7 linked regions of the Sus scrofa genome follow. The protein of the gene in region 2 interacts with the protein of the main gene of each other region in a biochemical or structural test. Links are inferred from orthologs where the notes say so. Each region holds a gene or a part of one and is shown on either strand. Other genes may lie near its edges.

Evidence for each region.
Region 1: the proteins of PTEN (region 2) and PRDX1 form a complex in vitro, tested with the Homo sapiens proteins (2 studies listed by BioGRID and IntAct). The link is inferred for Sus scrofa from reciprocal best matches to the Homo sapiens genes PTEN and PRDX1.
Region 3: the proteins of PTEN (region 2) and WWP2 form a complex in vitro, tested with the Homo sapiens proteins (7 studies listed by BioGRID, with this or other methods). The link is inferred for Sus scrofa from reciprocal best matches to the Homo sapiens genes PTEN and WWP2.
Region 4: of the proteins of PTEN (region 2) and MEX3C, one has a biochemical effect on the other in vitro, tested with the Homo sapiens proteins (2 studies listed by BioGRID). The link is inferred for Sus scrofa from reciprocal best matches to the Homo sapiens genes PTEN and MEX3C.
Region 5: of the proteins of PTEN (region 2) and XIAP, one has a biochemical effect on the other in vitro, tested with the Homo sapiens proteins (2 studies listed by BioGRID). The link is inferred for Sus scrofa from reciprocal best matches to the Homo sapiens genes PTEN and XIAP.
Region 6: the proteins of PTEN (region 2) and CSNK2A2 form a complex in vitro, tested with the Homo sapiens proteins (2 studies listed by BioGRID, with this or other methods). The link is inferred for Sus scrofa from reciprocal best matches to the Homo sapiens genes PTEN and CSNK2A2.
Region 7: the proteins of PTEN (region 2) and MAGI2 form a complex in vitro, tested with the Homo sapiens proteins (2 studies listed by BioGRID and IntAct, with this or other methods). The link is inferred for Sus scrofa from reciprocal best matches to the Homo sapiens genes PTEN and MAGI2.

Annotation. Positions count from the first base shown.
Region 1 is NC_010448.4:165,850,390-165,853,889, forward strand, and holds part of PRDX1 (peroxiredoxin-1), read left to right. Parts: intron 1-1,011; coding exon 1,012-1,165; intron 1,166-1,511; coding exon 1,512-1,634; intron 1,635-1,944; coding exon 1,945-2,075; intron 2,076-3,500. UniProt on the Homo sapiens protein: Thiol-specific peroxidase that catalyzes the reduction of hydrogen peroxide and organic hydroperoxides to water and alcohols, respectively.
Region 2 is NC_010456.5:99,928,223-99,932,389, reverse strand, and holds the start of PTEN (phosphatidylinositol 3,4,5-trisphosphate 3-phosphatase and dual-specificity protein phosphatase PTEN), read right to left. Parts: upstream 2,801-4,167; 5' UTR 2,097-2,800; coding exon 2,018-2,096; intron 1-2,017. UniProt on the Homo sapiens protein: Dual-specificity protein phosphatase, dephosphorylating tyrosine-, serine- and threonine-phosphorylated proteins.
Region 3 is NC_010448.4:17,074,483-17,077,982, forward strand, and holds part of WWP2 (NEDD4-like E3 ubiquitin-protein ligase WWP2), read right to left. Parts: intron 3,118-3,500; exon of another isoform or gene 3,048-3,117; intron 1,817-3,047; coding exon 1,657-1,816; intron 422-1,656; coding exon 288-421; intron 52-287; coding exon 1-51. UniProt on the Homo sapiens protein: E3 ubiquitin-protein ligase which accepts ubiquitin from an E2 ubiquitin-conjugating enzyme in the form of a thioester and then directly transfers the ubiquitin to targeted substrates.
Region 4 is NC_010443.5:100,677,952-100,680,114, reverse strand, and holds the end of MEX3C (RNA-binding E3 ubiquitin-protein ligase MEX3C), read left to right. Parts: intron 1-432; coding exon 433-1,658; 3' UTR 1,659-1,663; downstream 1,664-2,163. UniProt on the Homo sapiens protein: E3 ubiquitin ligase responsible for the post-transcriptional regulation of common HLA-A allotypes. Binds to the 3' UTR of HLA-A2 mRNA, and regulates its levels by promoting mRNA decay.
Region 5 is NC_010461.5:101,399,011-101,402,976, reverse strand, and holds the start of XIAP (E3 ubiquitin-protein ligase XIAP), read right to left. Parts: upstream 2,801-3,966; 5' UTR 2,789-2,800; exon of another isoform or gene 2,577-2,788; intron 1-2,576.
Region 6 is NC_010448.4:20,013,925-20,018,045, forward strand, and holds the start of CSNK2A2 (casein kinase II subunit alpha'), read right to left. Parts: upstream 2,801-4,121; coding exon 2,697-2,800; intron 1,911-2,696; coding exon 1,799-1,910; intron 1-1,798.
Region 7 is NC_010451.4:101,931,193-101,934,692, reverse strand, and holds part of MAGI2 (membrane-associated guanylate kinase, WW and PDZ domain-containing protein 2), read right to left. Parts: intron 3,386-3,500; coding exon 2,747-3,385; intron 1-2,746. UniProt on the Homo sapiens protein: Seems to act as a scaffold molecule at synaptic junctions by assembling neurotransmitter receptors and cell adhesion proteins. Plays a role in nerve growth factor (NGF)-induced recruitment of RAPGEF2 to late endosomes and neurite outgrowth.

The sequences.
Region 1 (3,500 bases), on a different chromosome or scaffold from region 2:
TAGCACATCTCACATAGGGGTTGGAACACGAGCAGGTCAGTGGGGCCCTATGGAGGGAGGCTTCTCCTGGCAAACAAAGTAAGTAGCACCTTAGGGAGGTGACCCAGGCCCAAGGGTAAAGCCATGAGGTTTTGGAAGAGCTCCTCTTTGCCCGCCAGGGCTTGACCTGCTGAAGCTTGTTAGGCAGAGCCCTGGAGAAGTTTGTTTAGATGAATGGTGTTAGCTTTCAAAGTGAAGTTCAAAAAGGAACAGCTAGTTATGATTTTCAAGCATTGATGCTATTTGGAAATAAGTGAATATTTGAAATTGTTCCAAACAGCTCAGCCCATTAGGTGTGGTGAGAGGCTGCCTGGCAGGTTGGTAGAGTAACTTTAGTAAAATTCCAGCTAGAAATCCTGTTACCTACTAGGAGAAATTTTTTTTTTTCTTTTTTTTTTAGGGCTACATCTGTGGCATATGGAGGTTCCCAGGCTAGGGGTCCAGTCGGAGTTATAGCCACTGGCCTACGCCACAGCCACAGCAATGCCAGATCCAAGCCGGGTCTGGGACCTACACCACTGCTGATGGCAATGCCGGATTCTTAACAACCCACTGAGCGAGGCCAGGGGTGGAGCCCACATCCTCACGGTTACTAGTCTGGTTATCACTGAGCCGCGTAGGAAATCAACTTAAAAAGGCTTCTTGGGAGTTCCCGTCGTGGCTCAGTGGTTAATGAATCTGACTAGGAACCATGAGGTTTCGGGTTCGATCCCTGGGTTAAGGATGTGGCATTGCCGTGAGCTGTGGTGTAGGTCACAGACGCGGCTTAGATCTTGTGTGGCTGTGGCTGTGGTGTAGTCCGGCTGCTACAGCTCCGATTGGCTCCCTAGCCTGGGAACCTCCATATGCTGCAGGAGCGGTCCTAGAAAAGACACACACACACACAAAAATAAAATGTCTTTAGGTTTTCATTGTCTATGAAGCAAGAAGTCTGTTTCGAAGGCTAATTTGTGGCTCCTTTTTTTTTCCCAGGAAAATACGTGGTGTTCTTCTTTTACCCACTTGACTTCACCTTTGTGTGCCCCACGGAGATCATTGCTTTCAGTGAGAGGGCAGAAGAATTTAAGAAACTCAACTGCCAAGTGATTGGTGCTTCTGTGGATTCTCACTTCTGTCATCTGGCCTGGTAAATCTCTTGGTCCATTTGGCACGTGGACTTTTGAACTGAGCAGTGACCGGGACTGGGCAGCTTTGGCAATAGACTTTCTCAAGTATTGGCCTCTGGCTCCTCATGGAAGGAGTGCAAAGGTGTTTTGACTTCCTCTTGTTGTTCTCTTATTACCTGGCAGCTTGGGTTGAGACTGCATGTACCCTGGTGACTTTAATTGTCCTTAGCTGTTTACTTTGCTGGGAAAAGCATGCAGCGTTTGGGGAGTTAGATTAGGAAGGTTGGAAATGGGAAGGAATAAATACAGTTAATGCTTTTGCTACAGAAGAATTTGAATGAATGTGATTGATTTTTTTGCTTGTAGGATCAACACCCCCAAGAAGCAAGGAGGACTGGGACCCATGAACATTCCCTTGATATCAGACCCCAAGCGCACCATTGCGCAGGACTACGGGGTCTTGAAGGCCGACGAAGGCATCTCATTCAGGTAAAAACCTGCGCGGGAGCTGACTGACAGTCAGCAAGAGAGTCATCTGATTGGCTCAAGGTTTTTATTGGAAAGGTAGAGCCCTGATCTGTAGAGAATTCTGATTTCATTTTTTTCCTGTTTTGTGGAGGGAATTGACGTACATCACTGATCGTTCATGGTCTCATTTCATTCTTTAGGCCTGAGGGCCTAAGGGGAAGGAAGGCCCATGTAAGTGCCAGAGACCACCCCATTTCAGTTTCTGCTCTGCTCTAACAGAGCCGATTCTAAAACTGCCGTCTCCCTCATACCTTGACTGTTTTCTCTCTAGGGGCCTTTTTATCATTGACGATAAAGGTATTCTTCGACAGATCACCATAAATGACCTTCCTGTTGGCCGCTCCGTGGATGAGACTCTGAGACTAGTTCAGGCCTTCCAGTTCACTGATAAACATGGGGAAGGTAAGCCAGGTCGCCTGCTAATAGGACAGCAGAATGGTGGGGTGGGGAGAATGGAAGGAACAAAGTCTACCAGATAAGAAAAGAATTTTTATGTCTCTTTAAGAAATTGCAGTCTTTATGGGGAGTTCCTGTCATGTCATGGCTTAGCAGTTAACGAATCTGACTAGGAATCATGAGGCTGCAGGTTCGATCCCTGGCCTTGCTCAGTGGGTTAAGGATCCGGCATTGCCGTGAGCTGTGGTGTAGGTCGCAGACGCGGCTCGGATCCTGTGTTGCTGTGGCTCTGGCATAGGCTGGTGGCTATAGCCTGGGAACCTCCATATGCCGCGGGAGTGGCCTTGGAAAAGGCAAAGAACAACAAAAAAAGGGCATTTGCAGTCTTTGGATTACTGTGGGTGGGTGTGGTGGGGTAGTGGAAAGGCTTGGGGAGGAGACTGTAAAGGCTTTTTGTTTCAGCTGCGTATTCCCAGCTCCTGCCCTGCTCATTTAGAATCGCTCACTGCTGCTGAGTCAACTTGTTAAAGGAATGTAGGAGCATCTCCTAGGTGTATAAGGGCACAACCAAAAAAGATCGAGACTCCCATCTAGAGAAGTGGGCTGTTCTTGACAGTCGTTTATTGGGAGAAGACCATATTCTTTAGATGATACTTGTTTTATTAGGGTTTTAAACAAGTTTTGAGATTTGGGAAATAAAAATTGGACTAAGATAACTTAACCGAAGACAATAGGCAGATAACAATTAATACTTTCTATCTTCTAAAGAATCCATTCTGTGGTGTGATGTGGTTGCCCTATTTGTAAGAATTGTAGTCACCAAATACCAAATTATATAAATGTTTAATATAAAAGTTATTTTAAAGGAGGAGTTAGGGCTAGGGAGTTTGAAGTGAAATATCAAGATTCTTCATTGTTTCAGGATCAAAGAATGTTTTTGTGGGAGTTCTCTCATGGTCTAGTGGTTACGACTTGGCGTTTTCAGTGCTGTAGCTCTGGTTGTCCTCACATCAAGTTGCCGCATGGCCTGGCAAAAAGCAAAGACCAAGACCAAGAAAAATGGGAGTTCCCAACATGGCTCAGTGTGTTAAGAACCTGATCAGTATCCATGAGGATGTGGGTTTGATCCCTGGTCTTGCTCAGTGGGATAAGGATCCAGCATTGCCATGAGCTGTGGTGTAGGTCAAAGATGTGGCCCAGATCCTTCGTTGCTGTTGTTATGGTGTAGGCTGGTAGCTGCTGCTGCGATTTGACCCCTAGTCTGGGAACTAAAGCATGCCACAGGTGCTCCCCTAAAAAAAAACCAAAAACCCAATAAAAAATCCTCCAAAAACCTAAATATAAAAAAAAATCTCCCCAAAGATAATGTTTTTGTGAGTCTGTCCTTGTAAAATCTGTGACTGAGCAGATTCAATTTGTTTTTTTTTTTTA
Region 2 (4,167 bases):
TAAACAGCATTCTGGAAAATTTTTTGAATGGAGGCTTATTTTAAAAAGTTAAACAGTTAATTAATGTGTTCCTATATATTCAGATGACTGTCAGTTTACGCCAACAGTAGACTATTTTTGAAGTAAGTTACAAATCAGAAGAGTTTTTCCGTAATTAACTTCTGGGTAAGCGGGTCAAGTTCAGTCTCAGTAAAGTTTTCAATTAATGCAACTTTAAAATTTCCAAATATTCTTTTTAAACATTCTTTTTTAACTTAACAGAAAACGGTTACCTTGTGTGCGTGGTAAAGCTATTTCTTCAGTAATTTTATCTTCATTTCAAAACAAATACTTCGAGTAAATTAGCTGTGCACACTATGTGCACATACATAACCCGAAGGAATAAAATCTCTCCAGATATACAACGTTTGATTCAAAAAAACTCCCCCACAATTTTTAGCTGTACATATATAAACACTTTAGTCTCACTTTACCTTTAGGAGAGATGTTTACTGACAGTTGCTAAGAAACCACTTTTATTAAAGAATATTAACACTTATAAAACTACATAGTTTTAACTAAATATTGTCAACTAGTAAAATTCATACCACCAAATTTCTTATCTTAATAGAGGCTTAAAAAAATGCTTCAGTCACCTCAGACCAGTAACTTAATCCTGTCTCATGTCTATACACTGGCCTTTCGTAACTCTCAATTTCTGATACTTTTCATTCTGCAAAAAAGGGCTCCATTCCCATCCTTGATCAAAGCCAGCTTATTATACCTGAAACTGCAAAGATTAATGCCTTTTGATAACCAGCATCTTTTGAAGTACAAGGGCCTGTTAGACAACCAATACTATACACTATTGAAATTCTTGGGTTTCTATCTTATTCAACAAGCTGACTCAGTAAATTTAAGACACCGTATGGAAAAAGCGGAACACACCTACAATCTGAAGCTGGAGTAATCCACTCTTGCCAGTCTGATTATTAGCTGATAAATTGTACTTGACATTCTACACAAGTCAGAGTAAGATTAACGGATACCCAAAGGTGTCAGAGGACATGATACCTAAATAAGGTGAGCAGCAATTCTGGCATCACAATAATACTTAAATTTCAAGTGAAACTGAAGTTTAATCTCTGCAATCACCATTTGCTACACACTATACCCTTCAACCTATACAACCTTATCATCTGGGATCAAAAACCACTCAATCTCCATTCTACTACTTGTCACAAGAGCACTGAATATAAAATGCTACTGAATTGCAAATTTCATATCCTATCCCATATCACCCCAATGGGGGGAGGGGAGCAAATTTAACAAAGATCTAATAAGAACGATTTATGAGATATACCACGGCACTATTGATTTCAAGCTACAAAACTTCCACATGCAGTTCAAAGTTGTAATTAACTTTGTTTTAACACACAAACCTACTTTTGCCTTCAAATGAGCACCATATATGCTAAAATGATTCTCTCTAAAGTTATGCAAATCAGTTCACAACTCACATTTTAAAAGAATCTATCAATGCAACCCAGGAAACTCAAAACAATCACTGCAAGATTCTGATGCAATATGCGTACGTGCAACACTAATTTTCATTTTAATCTGATCTATACCCTTGATCTAGGGCCTAAAGCCAAGATTTAATCGAAATATGCTCAACCTCAAAGCATCTACTTTTCTGTTCATTTAATAGACCGGATTACCGAGCTCACTAATCCACTAACACTGTACTGTATTCTGTATTAACGGACAATAGCCCTTAGGAAGAGACCCCGTAGACAGACTAAGAAACCCATGGGCGCCTTGACACTTGCAACCAAGCAAGAGTTCTGTCTAGATGAACACACCCTAGGCTGAATGCATTCAAAAGCAGCACAAAATATACATGATCTAGAAATCTGATTAGGGTTAAATGTTATAGTCACCCAAACTATGGACATTTTTCGCATCCGTCTACTCCCACGTTATAAGAGCGAGTGACAGAAAAGCAAAGAGGAGCAGCAGCCACAGAAATGGATACAGGTCAAGTCTAAGTCGAATCCATCCTCTTGATATCTCCTTTTGTTTCTGCTAACGATCTCTTTGATGATGGCTGTCATGTCTGGGAGTCTGTGGCTGAAGAAAAAGGAGGAGAGAGATGGCAGAAGCTGCTGGTGGCGGGGCTTCTTCTGCAGGATGGAAATGGCTCTGGACTTGGCGGTAGCTGATGCCCCTCGCTCTGCTGCCGCTTGGCTCTGGACCGCAGCCGGGTAATGGCTGCTGCGGCGGCTGCTGGATGGTTGCAGCGACTGGGCCTGCTTCTCCTCAGCAGCCAGAGATCTGGCAGCGGCGGCAGCGGAATGGGGAGAAGACGAATAATCCTCGGAAAGGCTGCCTCCTCCGGCGGCCTCTGGAGCCCGGGCCAGGGGGGGTGCGGCGGCGGCGGAGGGGAGGTTTAAAACCGGCCCGGGTCCCTGGATGTGCCGCCGCCGCCGCCGCCGTGTTGGAGGCAGTAAGAGGGGAGAGACCAACTCTCCGGCGTTCCCAGCCCTGGAAATGATGACAGGCGACTCCGACCCCCTCCCCGGAGCTGCAGCCGCCGCCGCCGCCGCCGCCGCCGCTTCTCCCCCCCGCTCCAGGAGCGGGAGGTGCCGCCGCCGCTCCTCAGCCGGCTCCCGCCCGAGCCCACGGCTTCCACCGTCCCTTTCAGAAGAAGCCGAGGAAGAGGCTGCACGGTTAGAAAAGAGGACGAAGAGGAGGCGAGAAACGCCGCCGCTGCCGCCGCCGCCGGCCGGCCGGCTCCCCGAGGGCGCTGCCCCCGCGGCTGCTCACAGGCGTTGAGAGGGGCTCTGGGCCGCGGCCGCCGCCGTCTCTCATCTCCTTCGCCTGAGCCCGGTCTCGCCTCACAGCGGCCCAACTCTCAAACTTCCATCATGGCTGCAGCTTCCGAGAGGAGAGAACTGAGCGCAGCCGCGTCCCGGCTCCGAACGGGTATCCTGCCGCAGTGCACAAAGAGTCCCGCCACATCACCGCCCGCCAGCCTGCCCGCCCCCTCCGCCGCCGCGCTAGGGGCAGGGGCGCCTGGGAGCCCGAGGGGAGGCGGGAGGCGGGAGGCGGGCCGGACCGCGCCAGGGGAGAGACGCGCAGGGCAGGGCTGGGGTTTTAGGGAGGGGGCAGAAGCGGCAGCTCTGGTGCGAGCGCCGAGTCCCCAACCTGCTGGCGCCACTGAGCATGCCCAGTATGACTGCCCGGGGCTCGCTCGGGCTTGTTCCGAGGCCCCCTCCTGAAGCTGCACTTGCTGCGGCTGCTTCTGCAGCAACGCAGGGTGGGGGGACGAGCTGAACCATAGCCTGTGCCCAGCAACGCAACCCGAGGCAGAATAGGCTGTTGCGAGCGAGACAGGGGGGTTAAGGTGAAGGCTGAGGCAGGTTCTTTGAGCAGTGTCACTGACGCGAGTCTGAGGTTACCTGTGCACAGGTGGGAAAGACCAGGTGACTGCGCTGGTAGTGTACCGGGAAGCGCAAGGATGGTCCCTACAGCGAGGACACCTCTCCCCTTGCCCCCAGATTTCCCTGGCACGGCCTGCAACCCCCCGTCCTTTTGCACCGCTGTCGGATCACAATCGTTCGCAGGGATTTGACTGCAGCAGCCTCTGCCAAAAAATCCACCTATCCCCCACCCCCACCCGTGTCCTCAAGGTGTCAGTCTTAATACAAAGAATCCCCTATTGTGTCTCTAGTGTGTATCACCTCATCCGGCTCCCTTGCATCGCCCCACCTCCCGCTTCCCCGGCAACCTGGTTCATTTGCCCTAAAATTGAAAGGTCCAGCAGAGCGTGCTGAATATGAACACATCGCCCCTGAATTTCTAGATCCCAAAGGACAAATGTCCAGGTGAAATGAAAGCTGATACCCGACGCTGGGATGCACCCCAGCCCCCTGGAGAGCAGAGAGCATCTCTCCCCTCGGGGTTCCAGTAGGGTTCACCGCGTCGAACTGAGCCAAAGACTCCTCGCCCCGCCCCCTTTTGGGCCGCTGTGAAAACCTGGCTGGCTGGATCGCCCCGGGGCCCGGTTCCGCGCTCCACCACCCGGGCGGAGACTCGGGTTGCTGGGCCGGAGAGTGAAGTACGCGACGGTAGGAAGCTGCAGCCCCGGCGAGTGGGCGGAGCCGAGGAGACCGAGGAGGGTTC
Region 3 (3,500 bases), on a different chromosome or scaffold from region 2:
ATGTCCTGGATGAAGTACAGCTCGAGGCCGCACTCCTCCAGGTTGTTCTCTCTGGGGGCACGACAGACCCAGGGGGAAGAAGTCTGTCACAGAAGGGGCCTTCCCCCAATTCGGCTGTCACGCACTTGCAGGGCCCACGGGACACGGGGATCCGCAGGTGGCCTAGAACCCACCTCGGGAGGCAGAGGACACCTCCTGAGCTGCCCTGCAGGCAGACTGGAAGCTACCCAGCCCCCCCACTCCACCCCAGCCTTTAACCCAGCGTGGGGCGAGGGAGGGGCACGCACTTGATCCAGACGATGGAGTTGTAGAATTCGGGGTCGATGGACTCCAGGTCTTTCAGGGTTGGTCTCTTGTTCAGCATCCGCTTGTAGAAAGGGAGGGTGAAGCCCGTATCGATGAACTTTCCATGGTACAGAGCCTGAGGAAGGAGGCAACAGGGCGAGGAGGTGTGCTTTTCCCAGGATGCCCCATCTCAAAGCCCGGCTCCTGCTCCCCGCCCTCCTGAGCACCCAGCTGCCCCAGGGGCTGAAGGGAAGGCCTGGAACAAGCAGGGCCCTTGGTCCCACCTGCACACCTCAGGGAGCCACCTGCAGGCCCAGCAGGCCCACCACCTGCCCACCCGCCCACCGGCTCCCTGCTCTGGCCGAGTCAGCCCCAAGCTCCCAGAGAAGACTCATTCTGTACCGCTCCAGAGGGCGGCCCTGACTCACTGGTGCTCAGAGCCGGGCAGCAGAGGCAGCCAAAAATAATGCAGACGCCGCTGCTGGCGGGCCAGGGGTGAGTAATAGTCTAGGGTTTTACTGGTCTGTCCTGTCAGCTGCGGGGCCAGGCGGGTCTCTAGACCTGGGAAGAATGTGCCCACTTCCTGAGCCCAGCACCTTGGCCAAGAACTTCCAGACAAAGGGAAAGGACATATTTAGTCATGGGCTCTTGGGTCCCCCCGAGAGGGGGGCAGGGCGGGGCACTCCCTCAGGAAGAAGTGAAGGAAAGTTAGCAGCAAAACATCTCAAGCTACCAAATATGGCAGCAGGACTGGGGCTCCCAGAGATCCCCCTGTCTCCATACTCGTGAGATACTCAACCGGAGGCACCCAGTGTCACCCCCTTTTCATGTTCACTCTGTGGAGCCTATTTCTGCAGAAACACAAATACCGACTCTTCTTCCCTACTCTGCCCTCCTCGTGACAGGTGCCTCCTCCATCTTGCACCAGCTGGTCCACCAGAGCTCTGTTCTAAGCTAGTGTAGATTCCCAATTCCCTTCCAGAAGGTCTGAGTCATAGTCAGACCCTCCCAAGCTCTTGCCACCCAGCTCGTGGCAACACCCGGAGATGGGCAGCAGGTGGGCCGTGCCCGTCATCCCCCACCCCAACAGGGCACACGACGAATGTTCAGTGAAGACTCTGATCCGGGGAGCCCGGGCTTTCGCTTGGTGAGTCCTACACGAATCAATAAGGAAAACTTGCTCAACACCCTGTGGTGGCCACCGAGAGAGCTCTGATCTAGCGCTGGAACTCTCACTAGCTTTTTGCACCTTCAGTGAGGAGTTCTATAAGGATGAGGGTGGGGCCCAGAGAGGGGGTGCCAGTCTGCAGAGCTGCCATTGGTGTCTGGGGTCACCGCCTGCCCTGGAGGTCTTGTGGCAGTGACTCTTACCATGGCAATGAATCTGCCAATAAAGCGGAAGTAGGTGAGGTGGTCGGGGTTGATGGAGGAGGCGGGGTTGATCTGCAGGCAGTAATTGTTCTTCCCGGCGTATTCAAATAAACAGTACATGGGGTTGAGCACCTCGTGGGACAGGAGGAAAAACCACTCTCTGTGAGAGAAGAGAGAGAAAGACAAGACTAATGGATCCCTCCCTGCACACCCCCTCTGGAGCTGCAACTCTCCTCTGCCTCCTGTTTCACCCGGTCTGGAGACCTGTGTCCTGGGGAGGCAGCCCCACCAGGATCAGCAGCTGGGCCAATCTCTACGGACAGAGCAGAGTCAGACCCGAGGTGAACCAGAACAACAAGTGCACTTGACAATGATGCTCAGGAAGACCCATGTGCGTGCATGTTAGCTCTGGGTGCTGCATTCCAGGACTTCCCATCCGATATCCAGAGCAACTAACGGCAAAGGGGCTCCTTGCACCCTGAGCCACCATGCACAGCTGTGTGGGCTGTGCACTGCACAAGGACACTATGTTAAAATATCGTATATAGAGAACAAACTTGTGGTTGCCAAGGGAGAAGGCGGAGGGGAGGGAAGGATTGGGAGTTTGGGATTAGCAGAAGTAAACTATTATATATAGAATGGATTAACAACGAAGCCCTGCTGTATAGCACAGGGAACTATATTCAGTATCCTGTGATAAACCACAATGGAAAAGAATATGAAAAGGAAGAGATACATGTACAATTGAGTTACTTTGCTATACAGCAGAAATTAACACATTTTATATCAACTAAACTTTAGCACAATCTTTTTAAAAAACCATAATTTGTACATTTATCACAACAATGTCCCTGCAAACAGCTGTAAAGTTGCCATTTTGCCATTTTCGGATAAAACCCAGTATGTTGTGGCCATTTTCCAATACAGAAGTGTCTTGAGAAAGGGTACCTTTTTCTAAACTTCACAGAAATGCTTTATGAATAGCAGCCGGCCTGCTTCCGCCCTAGCTGAGGAGGCAGCATCTTGTGAACATGTGGTAACACATTCCTAACTCCCGATGCACAAAAACTCTGGAACCCATGCTGTGCCTGCACCTCACTCCCCCAGCTACAGCCCAGGTATCTCGCTGCCCTTGGGGCACTTGGCCATTCCCTCGCCCCCGACCCCATCATCATACCCTTCCCTGTATGTCCACGCATTCCTGTGAACCCATGTCCATGACTTGGCATCACTTTGGGCCCTAGGTAAAGCCTGAAGCCAGATGTCAGAGTCCTTTTTGGAGCTTGAGCTAGACCAGCAGGGGGACAGCCCAAGGGGACCGGTCCCTGGCTGCTGGGCTGTTTGTGGCCGGGCAGATGAGGAGTCCTTCGATGCAGAGGGTGCCCCGGTATCCTGTCCGTGGTTCTACCCTGTGGTAGAACAGCATGACGTAACCTACCATAGGGTAAAACCACTGGCAGGACACAGAGAGACAGACACACACGGGGCGGGAGCCACACCACCAAGCAGAGCCTGGAGAGGAGGTTATCGCGGTCACCACGGAAAAAGAGCCATTGATCCACGGGGCCAACACAGCGGGCAACGCCACCAGCACACAGAGAACCAGAAGCAAGTTAAGCCAACACCCAGCGAGAAGATGTCCCCACACCATGAGAGGCAGTGAGCTGAGCGGTCACCACAGGCCAAGATGCTCCTTCTCTCTGCCAGGGCCCTTGTGCCCCTCATCCGAGGCAACACTGGGAAGGGGAGTCTGTTAACTTTTGTAGGTGGACGGTGGGGAGGGCAAGACAACGCTCTGAGCTCTTTGTAGGATTATAGGAGCTATTTTGAGTCCACTGACCTTG
Region 4 (2,163 bases), on a different chromosome or scaffold from region 2:
GTGTAGGTTAAATAAGACAATAGATATTAAATGTCTCACATACACGTTACCGGTTTTTCTTTGCCACCAACACCCTGCAAGGTAGTAAACTGTTAGTATTCTGAAAGTCAGCCCACTCATAGTGTAGCTATCCTATATAGAGTATTCCTGCATCATTTGCAATGGTTAATAACGAGAGAGAGAAAACAATAATCCTCTTAGTTTAAAACCTCTAGTAGAGGGATCCCCAGAAGGGTGTAGTTCAGGATCTAGGCGTCTTAGTGAAGTTAGGAAAGTTTTATTATATAGTGATAAGTTTTTCTAATAAAGAAAAAAAACTCTAAAAGGGGGAAAACTGCAGACTCTTAGGTTAAAAGGATCTCTCTCTGATTTGCCTTTATCAATATTGTTGAAGTAGGTGTTGATTCTAATGAAATCTTTTCTTTCTAACAGGTTGTAAAATTAAAGCGCTGAGAGCCAAGACGAACACGTACATCAAGACGCCTGTTCGTGGTGAAGAGCCCATTTTTGTTGTCACTGGGCGGAAAGAAGATGTTGCCATGGCCAAAAGAGAAATCCTCTCAGCTGCAGAGCACTTCTCCATGATTCGTGCATCTCGAAACAAAAATGGCCCGGCCCTGGGAGGGTTGTCATGTAGTCCTAATCTGCCCGGTCAAACCACCGTTCAAGTCAGGGTCCCCTATCGTGTGGTAGGATTAGTAGTTGGACCCAAAGGAGCAACTATTAAAAGAATTCAGCAGCAGACCCACACCTACATAGTAACACCGAGCAGAGATAAGGAACCTGTCTTTGAAGTGACAGGGATGCCCGAGAATGTTGACCGAGCACGAGAAGAAATAGAAATGCATATTGCCATGCGTACAGGAAACTACATTGAGCTCAATGAAGAGAATGATTTCCATTATAACGGTACTGATGTAAGCTTTGAAGGTGGCACTCTTGGCTCTGCATGGCTTTCCTCCAATCCAGTTCCTCCCAGCCGCGCCAGAATGATATCCAATTATCGAAACGATAGTTCCAGTTCTCTGGGAAGTGGTTCCACAGATTCCTACTTTGGAAGCAATAGGCTGGCTGACTTTAGTCCAACAAGCCCATTTAGCACAGGAAACTTTTGGTTTGGAGATACACTACCTTCTGTAGGCTCAGAAGATCTCGCGGTTGATTCTCCTGCCTTTGACTCTTTACCAACACCCACTCAAACTATCTGGACTCCGTTTGAACCAGTTAATCCACTCTCTGGCTTTGGGAGTGATCCTCCTGGTAACATGAAGACTCAGCGTAGAGGAAGTCAGCCATCAACTCCTCGTCTGTCTCCTACATTTCCTGAGAGCATTGAACACCCACTTGCTCGGAGGGTTAGGAGCGACCCACCTAGTACAGGCAACCATGTTGGCCTTCCAATATACATCCCTGCTTTTTCTAATGGTACCAATAGTTACTCCTCTTCCAATGGTGGCTCCACCTCTAGCTCACCTCCAGAATCAAGACGAAAGCACGACTGTGTGATTTGCTTTGAGAATGAAGTTATTGCTGCCCTAGTTCCATGTGGCCACAACCTCTTCTGCATGGAATGTGCCAACAAGATCTGTGAAAAGAGAACGCCATCATGTCCAGTTTGCCAGACAGCTGTTACTCAGGCAATCCAAATTCACTCTTAACTATATATATATACATAAATACTATATCTATATGGACTCGTAAAGGCATGGGTATAATGGTACCCCCAGTAAACTTCCTAATGAATTCTTATGACTGTTATCAGGCTTTATTGGGATTAGGCTAAAGTTGTTAGTAAACTTATAAAAGGCTGCTATGGTAACACTAAACCTAAGTGGTCTCTTGTCTATTAGTTTGGTTTGAATTATTAATACTATCTTGTAGACGCAGAGACATAGCTTGTGTAAGAATTGCTAAAGCTGACGTTCAACTCGGCTGAGTGAAGATAATCATAGGTTGTGTGACCCTATGAGAAAAGTGTATACGTCTAAGATTTCAAAACGATGGGTCCCAAAGCCTAACCACATTAAGAGTTTATGGAGGGTACTTGGCATTACAGATGATTCAGACACTTCCAGTGCTGCCTTCTTTACACTGCCAGTTTTGACAAAACAGGTTTGTTTGTTTTTTATTTTACAACAACTTATGCCTAATTCTGCAGGATTG
Region 5 (3,966 bases), on a different chromosome or scaffold from region 2:
AATATTAAGATGATAAATAATGGGGAATTACTTAGGAAAACAAAACCAATGTTAAACACTTTAATATCTACCTGTATACCTATGATGCTACCTATTCAATAAAAGAGTATCTTCAGCCACTTAAAAAAAAGATGTAATATTCCAATTGCTCTTTTCATGTTTTGAATTAAATGGAATATATTTAAAAAGTTATGAAAAAGAAAAAAAGAAATATGGAGGCAATGAGGTTGAGTGATTTGCTCATAATTACACAGTTTACCTGAAACAAAGCCAACACAAGAACCCTGGCTTCCAATCAAGGGCTCTTTCCACCAAACCTCATGACCTCTTAAGAATAGCTTTTGTTCAGTTCAACTTATTTTACCACTACTGTTTTTATCTCCTCAAATCTGCTCACACAATGACCTTAAACAGTGTTACAGATTACACTGTAATACTATTACCAGATCAGACCACAGAGACAAAGCTTTAGAACTGACAGCTCATGATAATCTCCCGTCCTCAAAAGAACAAGGGCATCTATTTTGCCATACTCATCTTTGGAATTCTAGCACATAGTGTAATACCTGGCATACATAGTAAGTGCTCAATAAATTAAAAAAAAAATCATAGATTTTTTTCCCCCTGTTAGCACCAACTACCAGACCAAAAAAAAAAAAAAAAAACCCAAAACAGTGAAATATAAATTATTTCATATTTGGGGTCTCTAAGCATTTATTAACTTTTTTTTTGTCTTTTTGTCCTTTTAGGGCTGCACCTGAGGCATATGGAGGTTCCCAGGCTAGGGGTCTAATTGGAGCTGTAGCTGCTGGCCTATACCACAGCTCAAGGCAACGCTGGATCCTTAACCCACTGAGCAAGGTCAGGGATCAACCTCATGGTTCCTAGTCGGATTCATTAACCACTGAGCCACGATGGGAACTCCAGCATTTATTAATTAAATAAAAGACTTCTTAAGTGAAGGCTTACAACCAAATATAAGGGGAATATTTACATTACTAAAATATTTCAAGCATTATACAAACTGATACATTAATTGCAATAATACTTATCTACTGAAATGGGCTGGACTAATCTTTAGTCAGATTACTTCATCCCCCTAGATGAATGCACTAGAAAGTGATAAAACTGCAGATGTAGTACAAGGAGCCCTGGACTAGGACCTACACTAATCCAAGCTCTGTTAATAATCAAATATATAACCTTGGGCAACTTCCTTTTTCATCTTTATGTCTTAACCTTTCATAAAAACAAAAGAGCTGAACAATTAATTACCAGGGACCTTTCCAGTCTTAAATTTTTTATTGAGTTTTATCCACAAAGATTCCACATTCAGAATTTTTTCATTGTGTCAAATTTGATACCCTGAATGTTATAATTTGCTACATTATTCAATAATCAAAAGCTTAGCACATCTCCTAAAAATATATAAAAACTAATAACATATATTATTGTTACCTTCTTACATTAGGATCAATAGAAGAAAACCAAAGATGAAATGTTAGCATCCAATAATCTGGCCTGCTTTGCCAGTTGGGCTGAAATGAACCAATCTGGATTTTACAGTACAAACCACTGATACCTAAATACATATAGGTATATAAACATATATACACACACCACTGGTACTTGTTCATACTGATACACACGTGTGTGTGAACTTTAAAACTTGTTTTTAGTTATAAAATCAATAGTTGTTTATGGTAAAAAATTCAAACGATACATTTGGTCACATGTGAAGTGCAAGTAAAAAGCCTCCCACCCCCTCCACCCTCCATAAGTAACCACTGATGACATTTTTTTTTGTGCACCATTCAAGAAATTATCTGAGCATATACAAGTAGGCCTGTCTATGTATACATTTTTTTAACCTAAATCTTTGCCATTCCTTGAACGACGGGGAAAAATACCTCAAGCACTGGCTTCATAAACATGTTAAATACGTTGAAAGTAGGCAGCACAGTTGTATGGCACAAAGTGGTACATACTTCCAAAATGTGCACCGAATACGTTTTAATTTTCTTGCTTGGAGGCTATGTGGAGCAGCTGAGCAGAAAGAGCAGTGAGCCAGGAGCCAGACAACCTGGGTTCTAATCTAAGTAATGGAGTAGCCTCAGGCAAGCCATGAAATCTTCTTGTGCCTTAGTTTCTGCTTTTGTAAAATACCGCGGTTGAACTAAGATCCCTTTCAACTCTAAAATGTTATAATTCTAAGATGGCCGTCTGTAACAGTGTTCTCTTGAACTGGATATAACAAATGTTAAGTTAAAAAAGACAAGAAACAAACACTATAGCAACCTCCAATCTTAGAGCAAATATCTGTGTGTCATTAACTACAAAAGTAGTACATTTGTGACATAAATAGTGATGTAATTACATTTTAAAACAAAGTAGTAGATTATTAAAATCTGATAGGTCTTTACAAAGCTTTGATTGACGTTTTTCTTTTTCTGAAGGGTTAGTGGGCTGTCGTTTAGTTTCAGCAATAACCCCTCCTCCCGAAACGAAAAGAATTAAGTGTATTACGGAGTTAAAATAATGAAACTGAAAGTTAGACCGAATTTTGTTTTACTCACAGAATATGCTGGGGAGGTGACGAGGGTAGCAAAGGTTGGAAAGAATTACTAGCTAATTTCCTCTTCCGGAAGGTCCTTGGCTCCTATTCTTTCTGTTTCACACACTCTCGCCAGACACACCCCACCCAGCTCCATACCTGCCGCAGGCATTAGATTGGGGGGGGGGTGTCCCTTGGATCATTAAGAGAAAAAAGTTCTTTGACTCGATTTACCTTAGAGGTCATGGGTTTAAGGAGGCAGCCTGGCGGCCCGATGCCACCCACGCCTTTCTTCGGCAGTCCAGGGAACCTGGGCACTGAGTCCCGGGCGGGCCACCCGCGCCGGGCAGGGGCTGCCTTTCCGCCCTTCCCCGCAGCGCGGGGCCCGAGGGGAGGGAGGGGAAGGAGGAGAGGGAGGGGAGAAGAAGGAGGGGAGGGAGGGAGGGGAGGGAAAAGAAGGAAAGGGGAGGGAGGAGGAAGCCCGTTCGGGCAGTACCCACCGCGCCTTGAGAGCCGGCCTGGATCGCCCGGGGCGCACCGCGCAGTGCTGAGGGGAGGGTCCTGGAGGAGGGGCGGCCCAAGCCCCAATCTGGAAATGCCAACTCCTCCCGGAGGCCAGGCCCCGGCTAGAAGGAAACGGAAGTCTCTTAGTCTCCCCAGCTCGCACGTAGCAGCCCGCCTATCCCCGGGAGGAACCCCGAGTCGGGGAATCCAAAGTGCGTTCACGTCAGGGCCTCAAAGAGACACAGCACACGGCACTGCCCATCCGCCCCCGGCGCCCGCCCGCGCAGTCTCCTGGCCTCTGCCCCCGCCCAGCAAAGCCCCTCCTCCTTCCCCTTCCGCCATTTTCGAATTTACCCCTCCTGCCCAGGCCTCCCTCGATTAGCCCTGAGCTCGTCCACGAAGCCGCTGAAGGCCTGCCATTTTTTTCGGCCGGAAGGGGGCGACCCAGAGGAACGCGGCCCTATTACCCTCCCCCCACCCCACAAGCTGGATACTAGGACCTGAAAGAGCGAGCGCATGCGCAATGGGCACCTCAAGTCCCGCCCCCAGGTCAAGCATTTCCTCTTGTGCCTCAAGGTGTTTTTTCCCGCGGTTTTTACCTGATGAGCTCTAGGGTGGAGGAGTGGGGGAAGTGAGTTAAAAGAATGAAAAGATAAAGAGAGCGAACATGTTGAGTTCTTACTGTAGACCAATCACTGTGGTCGGCATGAGACCTGTTCTTTGTTGTAATTTTGACAACCCTCTAAGGTAGGCACTCTCATGTAACACCACTTTAACGGGAAAATTGAGGCCCAGAGAGGGGCTAACTGCCCCATAGCACGCAGCTAATAAACGAGGGAACTGAGGAATTCCCATTGTGGCTCAGCGAGTTAAGAACCTGACCAGTATCCATGAAGATGCGGGTTGGA
Region 6 (4,121 bases), on a different chromosome or scaffold from region 2:
TAACACTAAAACAAACAGTAAGAGAGAGGAAAAAAATAGGAAACAGGAGTTCTGGCCAAGGGTTATTTCAACATAGTGACGTTAGATATGCTTCTTGGTGCCTAAATTTCTGGTTGGTTAAAAATGTCCTTCAGTTTCCATATCGGGTACCCTAAACATATCCTATAAATCTTTAGAGCAGGGGAAAACTATCCAGCAACTGAGGCTATGAAGTTCTCCACAAGGATGACAAAAGGGCAATATGACACTTCCCTAAATGAATGTACTATTACTTATATACACACCTGAATGTGGTTCCCTTTCAAAAGACGCCACAGGAAGTTGCATACTTACTCTAAAAATGCTACCATCACATCAAAGTTTAGACATTTTTCTGGAATTGCTTTAGAGTCAGCAGTTTATTCTTCTGATTGCACAACAGTGGGATATGGGTACTCCTAATGTCAATTTATGCCTTGCTTATTTCCTAGAGAGATTTTAAGTAGCTCTATTAAAAACATTTATGCTAATGTTTAACAGAAAAAAACTGTATGGTTTCCCAGGTGACTTCTCTGATGGGAATATTTCTTTAAATATTTGTGAAGAAAAAAAATAAAGACCACGTGACTTTGTAGGAGCAGTTCATATTTAGGGAAGAGGAGAGTCAAACTCCCTATCTTCAGTATCAATTCCTCACATCTCCCCCCCAGTGTTTCTGACAGCACAAATAACTTGCCTATTTCTCTGCAAACCTGCCTCTTCATCACAAGGCTAGAATGGTAGCAGTAACAGAGTCAATCACTTTTCTGAAAGGTGATTTTCTGATAGTCGAAGCCTGACCTCCCTTTTTAAATCGGGACACAGCTGCCCCAACTTTACTTAAGGCACAAAAACAGCTTTTCAATCCTACATTCTTGTTCGCAGAGCCTCTCCAAAATGGCCACATTGGAACTCTTGTATATGTGAAAGTGCTTATATGCTCCTACTAATCAACTCTTTGGTCTTCTCGTGATTTCACTAAATGACATGCACGCACATTAAATGATCAGGCAATGATCATTGAAAAGAGTCTAAGAATTATTTTTTATATGCCTTTGACACATTATCAAAGCTACACAACCAGTTACTCAGAAGAGAATTTAGCCAACTCTTCATGTTCATCAAGATCAAGCCTTCCTTCAAGAGATGACAAAAGGTATCTTTAACAAATTCAGGGTTCTATAAACTAGACAGGTTGTTTTGCTTTAATTCAAAACAACCCAACTTCACGTTTACTAGCTGATAAGCAACAATGAATCTTCCTGGCACTACTGGCTCACTATATCCATCTTACCTGAAACTTTTAACACCAAGAAGGAAAAAACAAGTCATTTTTCCACAGGAGTGGTTCCCTCCACTCAGGTTTCAAATGCATCCTTGAAGCTACTTTTTTACAACTTTCTGGAATAACATATACAGTACTTGAGGAGCCTTTGCGTTGATAGGATCTTCATGAAAAGGCTCTTTTTGCTTCTGAATGCCTATTTATTTTCTAATAAATGGAGCCCCTTTGGAAGTTTCACTTTGGAAGCCTTTAATTACATTTCAGAACAAGCATGTTCCTGAACCATCACACTTAGAGTTGAAACAGGTCTGCCTATTTCTGCAGATTTTCTTGAAAGTTCACAGGAAAATGAGGTGGGAGGAGTAGGAGAGGGACATCAGACAGAACAGATGCAAAATGAGAGCTCAAACTGCTCATTGGAGAATGTGGCTGAAATAGTTCATATCCTTCTGACCTGTGAAAAAGAAACTTTAACGCCGCTCATAAGACACTCACCTTGAGAATTTTTACAACCACTCTCTCGTTGTTGGTGATGTTAATGGCCTCAAATACTTCACTATACTTTCCCCGACCAAGTTTTCGAACCAGCTGGTAATCATCTTGATTACTGTGAAAGCCAAGAGCGACAAATATAAATGGCAGGACTTAGGATTAACCAAGCCTATGCCCACTACACACCCCATCCAGGCGCTTCCATTAATCAAGCACTTGGAAGTGTCTACACATCATGCCACAACTCATTCCCTAAATGAAAGCCACAACATAAACTTGGCTCCTCGCACTAGACGCAGTTCCTAACCTAATTGGTCCCTCATAACTTAGGGGAGATAAGGTGGAAGGCACGGGTCTGACTCAATCTAGAGGTGAGCAAAGCATCCATCCCGGAGGCCCAGAGGTGCCCCTCCGCCCAGCACCTGCCTTCTATTGCACACCCAGAAGGTAGACACCGCCTGCCTTGCGAATCTGGACATCCTTAAAAAATTTCCTCCCACCCATCCTCATTTCAAAAAAATAGAAAAGCAAAGAATTTTAATAGCTCAAGAGGACAGCTGCTGACTTCCCACCCCAATAGAAACCCCAAAGCGTAAAAGGAAAGGCTGCTCCCTTACTCCCACCGGGCTCTGGTCCCTGGACCCCTACACTTGTAAGGAAGTATACCCTGGGGTAAGGGGTACGCACAACGGGGAGGGAGAAGCGGAAGGGAGGAGAGGAAGACGAGGGCACTGGTGGGGGGAGTGGACCTCCCACCCCAGACCGGAGAAGCGCAGGCCCAGCAAAGGGGCAGGCGAGGAGATAGACAGCGGGGGACAAGTGCGGTTTGCGCGGGGGGTGGGGGGACGGCCGGGCGGGGGTGGGAGTGAGAGGGCCCGGCGGGGGGCGGCGGCGGCTTTACCCCCAGCTCGGGACGTGAGACTCATAGTCCCAGTACTCGCGGCTCCTCAGGCTGTTCACCTCGGCGTAGACCCGGGCCCTGCTGCCCGCGGCCGGGCCCGGCATGGCGGGCGGGACCGGGGGGCGTCGCGGGGCGCCGAGGGCGGCGGCGGCGGCGCGACGGGGGGCGCGGGGCGGCGGGCGGAGGAGGCGGCGGGCCGCGGGCCGCCGGAGGAGGAGGAGGAGCGCAGCGGCGGGCGGCCGCGCCAGGCCGGGCCCGCGGGGGCGGGCGGGCTGGGGGCGCGGGGGGCGCCGGCCAAGCCGGCCGGGCCCTGGAGCTGCCGGCGGGACGGCGGGGCGGATGGCGCTCGCGCTCCGCGGCGGCCTCCGCTCGGCTCGCGGCCCCGAGGCGGCGGCGGCGGCGTCGGCGGCACCAGCAGCGGCAGCCGCCGGCCGGGAAAGGGGCAGCGGCAGCGGCGGCGAAGAAGGAGGAGGAGGAAACCCGGAAAAGGGGCCGCGCTCACTAGGAGCGGCCGACGCCCGGCCCGGGGCCGCCCAGCCTCACAGCGCCCCCTGCAGCGCGGGGGGACCCGCCCGCCGGCCTGGTCCCGCCCCTGACCCCGCCCCTCCAGGATCCCCTTCCAAATCTACCCATCCTTGGTCTGGCAGAAAGCGCTCATCACAGGGCCTCCCCGCCCACAGGCTGCTGTCCTAGAGCCTTGCCCCCTCGCCTACTCTTCCAGGACTCTCCTAGAGACCCCCTACCCCAAAGCTCTCTACCCTTTCGTCATCCAGAGTTTCACCACCAGACCTCTCATACCGACCCTGCTGTGACACTTTTGTCACCCAAACTGTTCCCATCAAGTCCCTCCCTCATGAAACTTGCTCTTTTCACTCAGAACCTCTCCAACTCCTGATTTCCCCACCCCTCCCAGAGACAGCCCATCTTCCCTGATAGACTCTCCCCTGCCACCCACAGACTCTTGAACCTCCAGACTTCCCCTTCTCTCTTCATCCACAAAACCCTTATCTTACATTTTCCCCAAAATATCCTTCCAGAACCTTCCCTAAGAACTCTCTTTATGTTCATATCCTCACTTGGTTAAGTTGGAGTCAGCCAAGTTACTCACTGTAAAGTTCCTATTTTTCCCTTTGTAATTAATAAGCAAAATGTGTGGAGACACTTTGAGACCATAGAAATACCTTGGTTTGGTTTGGGAGGACAGAGAGCAGGAGAATTGTGAGAGTCCTGCCTTGAAGGGACAGGCTAGGAGTTGGGTATGGACTGAGGGTGGGGTGGCCAACCAAACTTTGGCCTATTTTATTAGGTTGCCTTCTAGCCCTGAACACTCTTCTCTCCTTGATGTTCTGGGCCTTTCTTTGGTCTTGCTTTTCCATCCCACATTTTTTAATCACTCAGCCTGGGTTGCTTTGAATCCAATCCTTT
Region 7 (3,500 bases), on a different chromosome or scaffold from region 2:
ATGTTAAATGTTAAATATACTACAGGTATTCATACACACGCTAGTTAACACTACAAAATTTCTGGAAGTTTGTGTATACAAACAAAATGTTTGCTTCTAGGAAAAGGATTGAAAGCAGGAGACAGGAGGGAGAATTACTTTTCATTGTGTACCTTCTGACACTGTTTGAAAAAAAATTAAACCACATAATTACTTTATAAATCAAAAATCCTAGTAAATCATTTAAAATAAACAACTATGATCCTGACATAAAGACCCAGGTGTATGAATCTGCTCTTGAGGATTTAGGCTTATTTGAATGAGGCCATATACACTTCTGAGTAGCGTATAGTAAGATGATCAAAGTGAATTTCATCACAAAAACATGGCATTAGTTCCTGCTAATTTCAGAGAGCTTAGTGCTAATTGTGGGAATTGGGGGAAAAACAAGAGGTTTTTGACTAGAAGTACTTTAAGCATCACAGGGTACTACCTTTTCTAGTTGTACACTAGCCACAATATAAAAAGAAATACCTCACCCTCAAACACAAACAATATGCAAACAAAGCTTTGAATGCTTGATTTATGTATCTGTCTGCAACAATACTGAATCATTATGCTCTACACCTGCAACTAACACACTATTGTAAATCAACTATGCGTCAATTAAAAAAAACTCTGACTGGAGGATTAAATTGGGGTGGAGGAGAATAGAGGAAAGGATGAGTAAGAATAGGAGAATCTAGCTGACAGTAGGCATGGAGAAATATTTTCAGAAAAGGTACAAATGGCAATATTATAAATACATATTATATAGGTGTGAATATATATGAATAAACAATTTCAGAATACTTTTTCTGCTATATGATACCTTTTAAAATGGTATTATATATATAAAAATGTGTTCAAACTTGTTTCTATGAATCATATAGTGGATACTGCACAGTGAGTTTAAGTTACGCATTTTACTATCAAGAACCTTTTACAAAGATTTGATTTTTGATTGTACATTATGAAGCTAAGGCTATTTAATTAAGAATATTTGTTTTTGGAGTTTCCATCATGGCTCAATGGAAATGAATCTGACTAGCATTCATGAGGACGCAGGTTCGATCCCTGGCCTCCTTAGTGGATTCGGATCCAGCGTCAATGTAAGCTGTGGTGTAGGCTGCAGACATGGCCTGGATATGGCATTGCTGTGGCTGTGGAGTAGGCTGGCAGCTACAGCTTTGATTCAACCCCTAGCCTGAGAACCTCCATATGCTGCCGGTATGGCCATAAAAGGACAACAAAACAAAACAAAACAAAAGAATATTTGTTTTAATCTTAAGCAACGGGAGAAATTAAAATACACTGTCAATATTTAATTATCAAGATTCAAGTGCTATTTTGTCATAATGCTTTAAGGTCACATTTAAGACTTCTGCTGTCACATTAATTCTTTTTTAAAATATAGAATCATAGTACTTTGCATGGTGTTTCTCACAACAGCTTAGTATTTGGTGTCAAAGTTTTACACCAGGAATAAGTAATGTAAAATACTTCCTTGAAGGGGAAACACCTGCAGGGAGGGCCATATATGTCATAAAAAGTGCTTCTTTCAGCTTTGACTGCTTCATTTGTATTTCAAACTGAAGAGGCTTTCATGCTATTTTTAGCACTTTGAATAGACAATCACATATTTTTGCACCCCTGTGCTCTTAGCACATGAGTTCCTCACAGCACTGCTCTTCCTGACCCATTCCTGCTGTAGCTTTGGTGCTAATTTAGACTCAATGGACATTTAATGAGCACCTATGGTGGGCCATTACACTAAGGACACTACCATCAGGTTAGGTAGTATTATCATCCCATTGTTAACAGATGAGACATCTGAGGCTCATAGACTTGAAGTGTCCTAAAACCCCAAATTGCTAAGTGGAAAACCAGGACTTAGCTTGAGTCTTTCCTTCATACTCTGCTTTCAGGTGCCTCTCTTCTGCTTTCCCCTTTCTCTGCCTCTAATAAAGAGCAGAATACCAGAGAAATGAAGGAGGCCCCCTCTACCTAGCACCACTACCTTCCCCATGGAGAGGGTGAAAGGGAAGAAACTTCCAGGGCTCAGAGCTCCTATCACAGTCCTCGCTGCTGCCATTTCCATACTTCACCTGGAACACCCAGCCCAAAACCTTAGCCCTAACCCTGCTCCATAACTCTTTTCCCAGGTCACAGAAGGTGCTGGGGGTAATTATTACTGAAGCATTCCTGTAATAATGGAAGAAGTGTCCTGAGCAACCCTATTCACAACTCTGAAAAAATTTTTCTATGGTGACATAGATCCCATTGGCTCTTTTGGGGACTACCAAGCCTGTACCTGAGCTTGGTTGAACTAACTTCCAGTTGCTAGCTTACAATCCTAAGCACAGCTCAGAGTACTGCTTCCATGGGAAGAATCAGGTTTCTTAATTAAGTCAATGGAAGCCAGTTTGAGGCCTCCACAACTGATACCTTAATGAACTTCTGGAATATAACCAACTCATACCTGGCGATTCAATATTTACCCTCTCAGTTCACAGCAATATATTTGTAAGATTGAAAGCACTATTTGTATTGTACTCAATATAAAATAGGAAGAGATATACTCTCAAAATTCAAAAGCACAGCTTCCTGGACTATTTTTCGCTCTTACTTTTTTACGTTCATTTTGAAAAGTATGGCTTCATTCAACTCCAGAGAAACTTCTATTTTTTCAATATTACTGTGATTGCTGAGCCAGTGTTTATCTTACCTCCTCGATGAATAATCAAAGAAGTCTCACTTCCAATGGGACAGTCCTTAAGTATATCCACTACTTCCGTATGGCTCAGGTTCTGTACATTCTGCTGGTTGATCTCAACAATGAGGTCACCTTCACACAGGCCAGGACATCCCTGAATGTCAAGTATTTGTTTCACCCGCTGTCCTGTCGGACTATCTGCAATGGTGAAGCCAAAGCCCTGGGCACCTTTCACAATGGTTAAGGTCATAAGTTCAGCTTGGGTGGCCCCCGATGAAGCCATAGATACATTGTCGTCATGGACAGGCGGTGGATACGTGCCATCTAGCTGACCATCAGCTGGCATTGAGTGCAAAGAATGAGGCGGCCGATCTGTTATATCTGGAACTGACTGTGAGGTCCGAGAAATGTATTCCAAATAAGTTTCATAGTTATGTCTTCCATTGACCATCACTGGAGGTGGCCTCTCCATTATTGCAAGGGGTGGCACCATGCTGTTAGCAGGATCTTCAGGATCAAAGGGCAAAGGGTAGCCACGGCATAATACCAGGTTGACACTCTGACCAATGGGAACAGACTGGAAAAGTTTGACTACATCTGCATGAGTGTGTCCAAGGACACAAACTTCATTAATATAGACAATGACATCACCTGCAAGGGAAAAAAAGAAAGAGATTGACAACATGAAGTAAGTTCAATTAACGTTGACATAGAGAAATGGAATTATTTATGAGACTAGTGAAAGAGGTGCTCTGTTTCTCAGTAA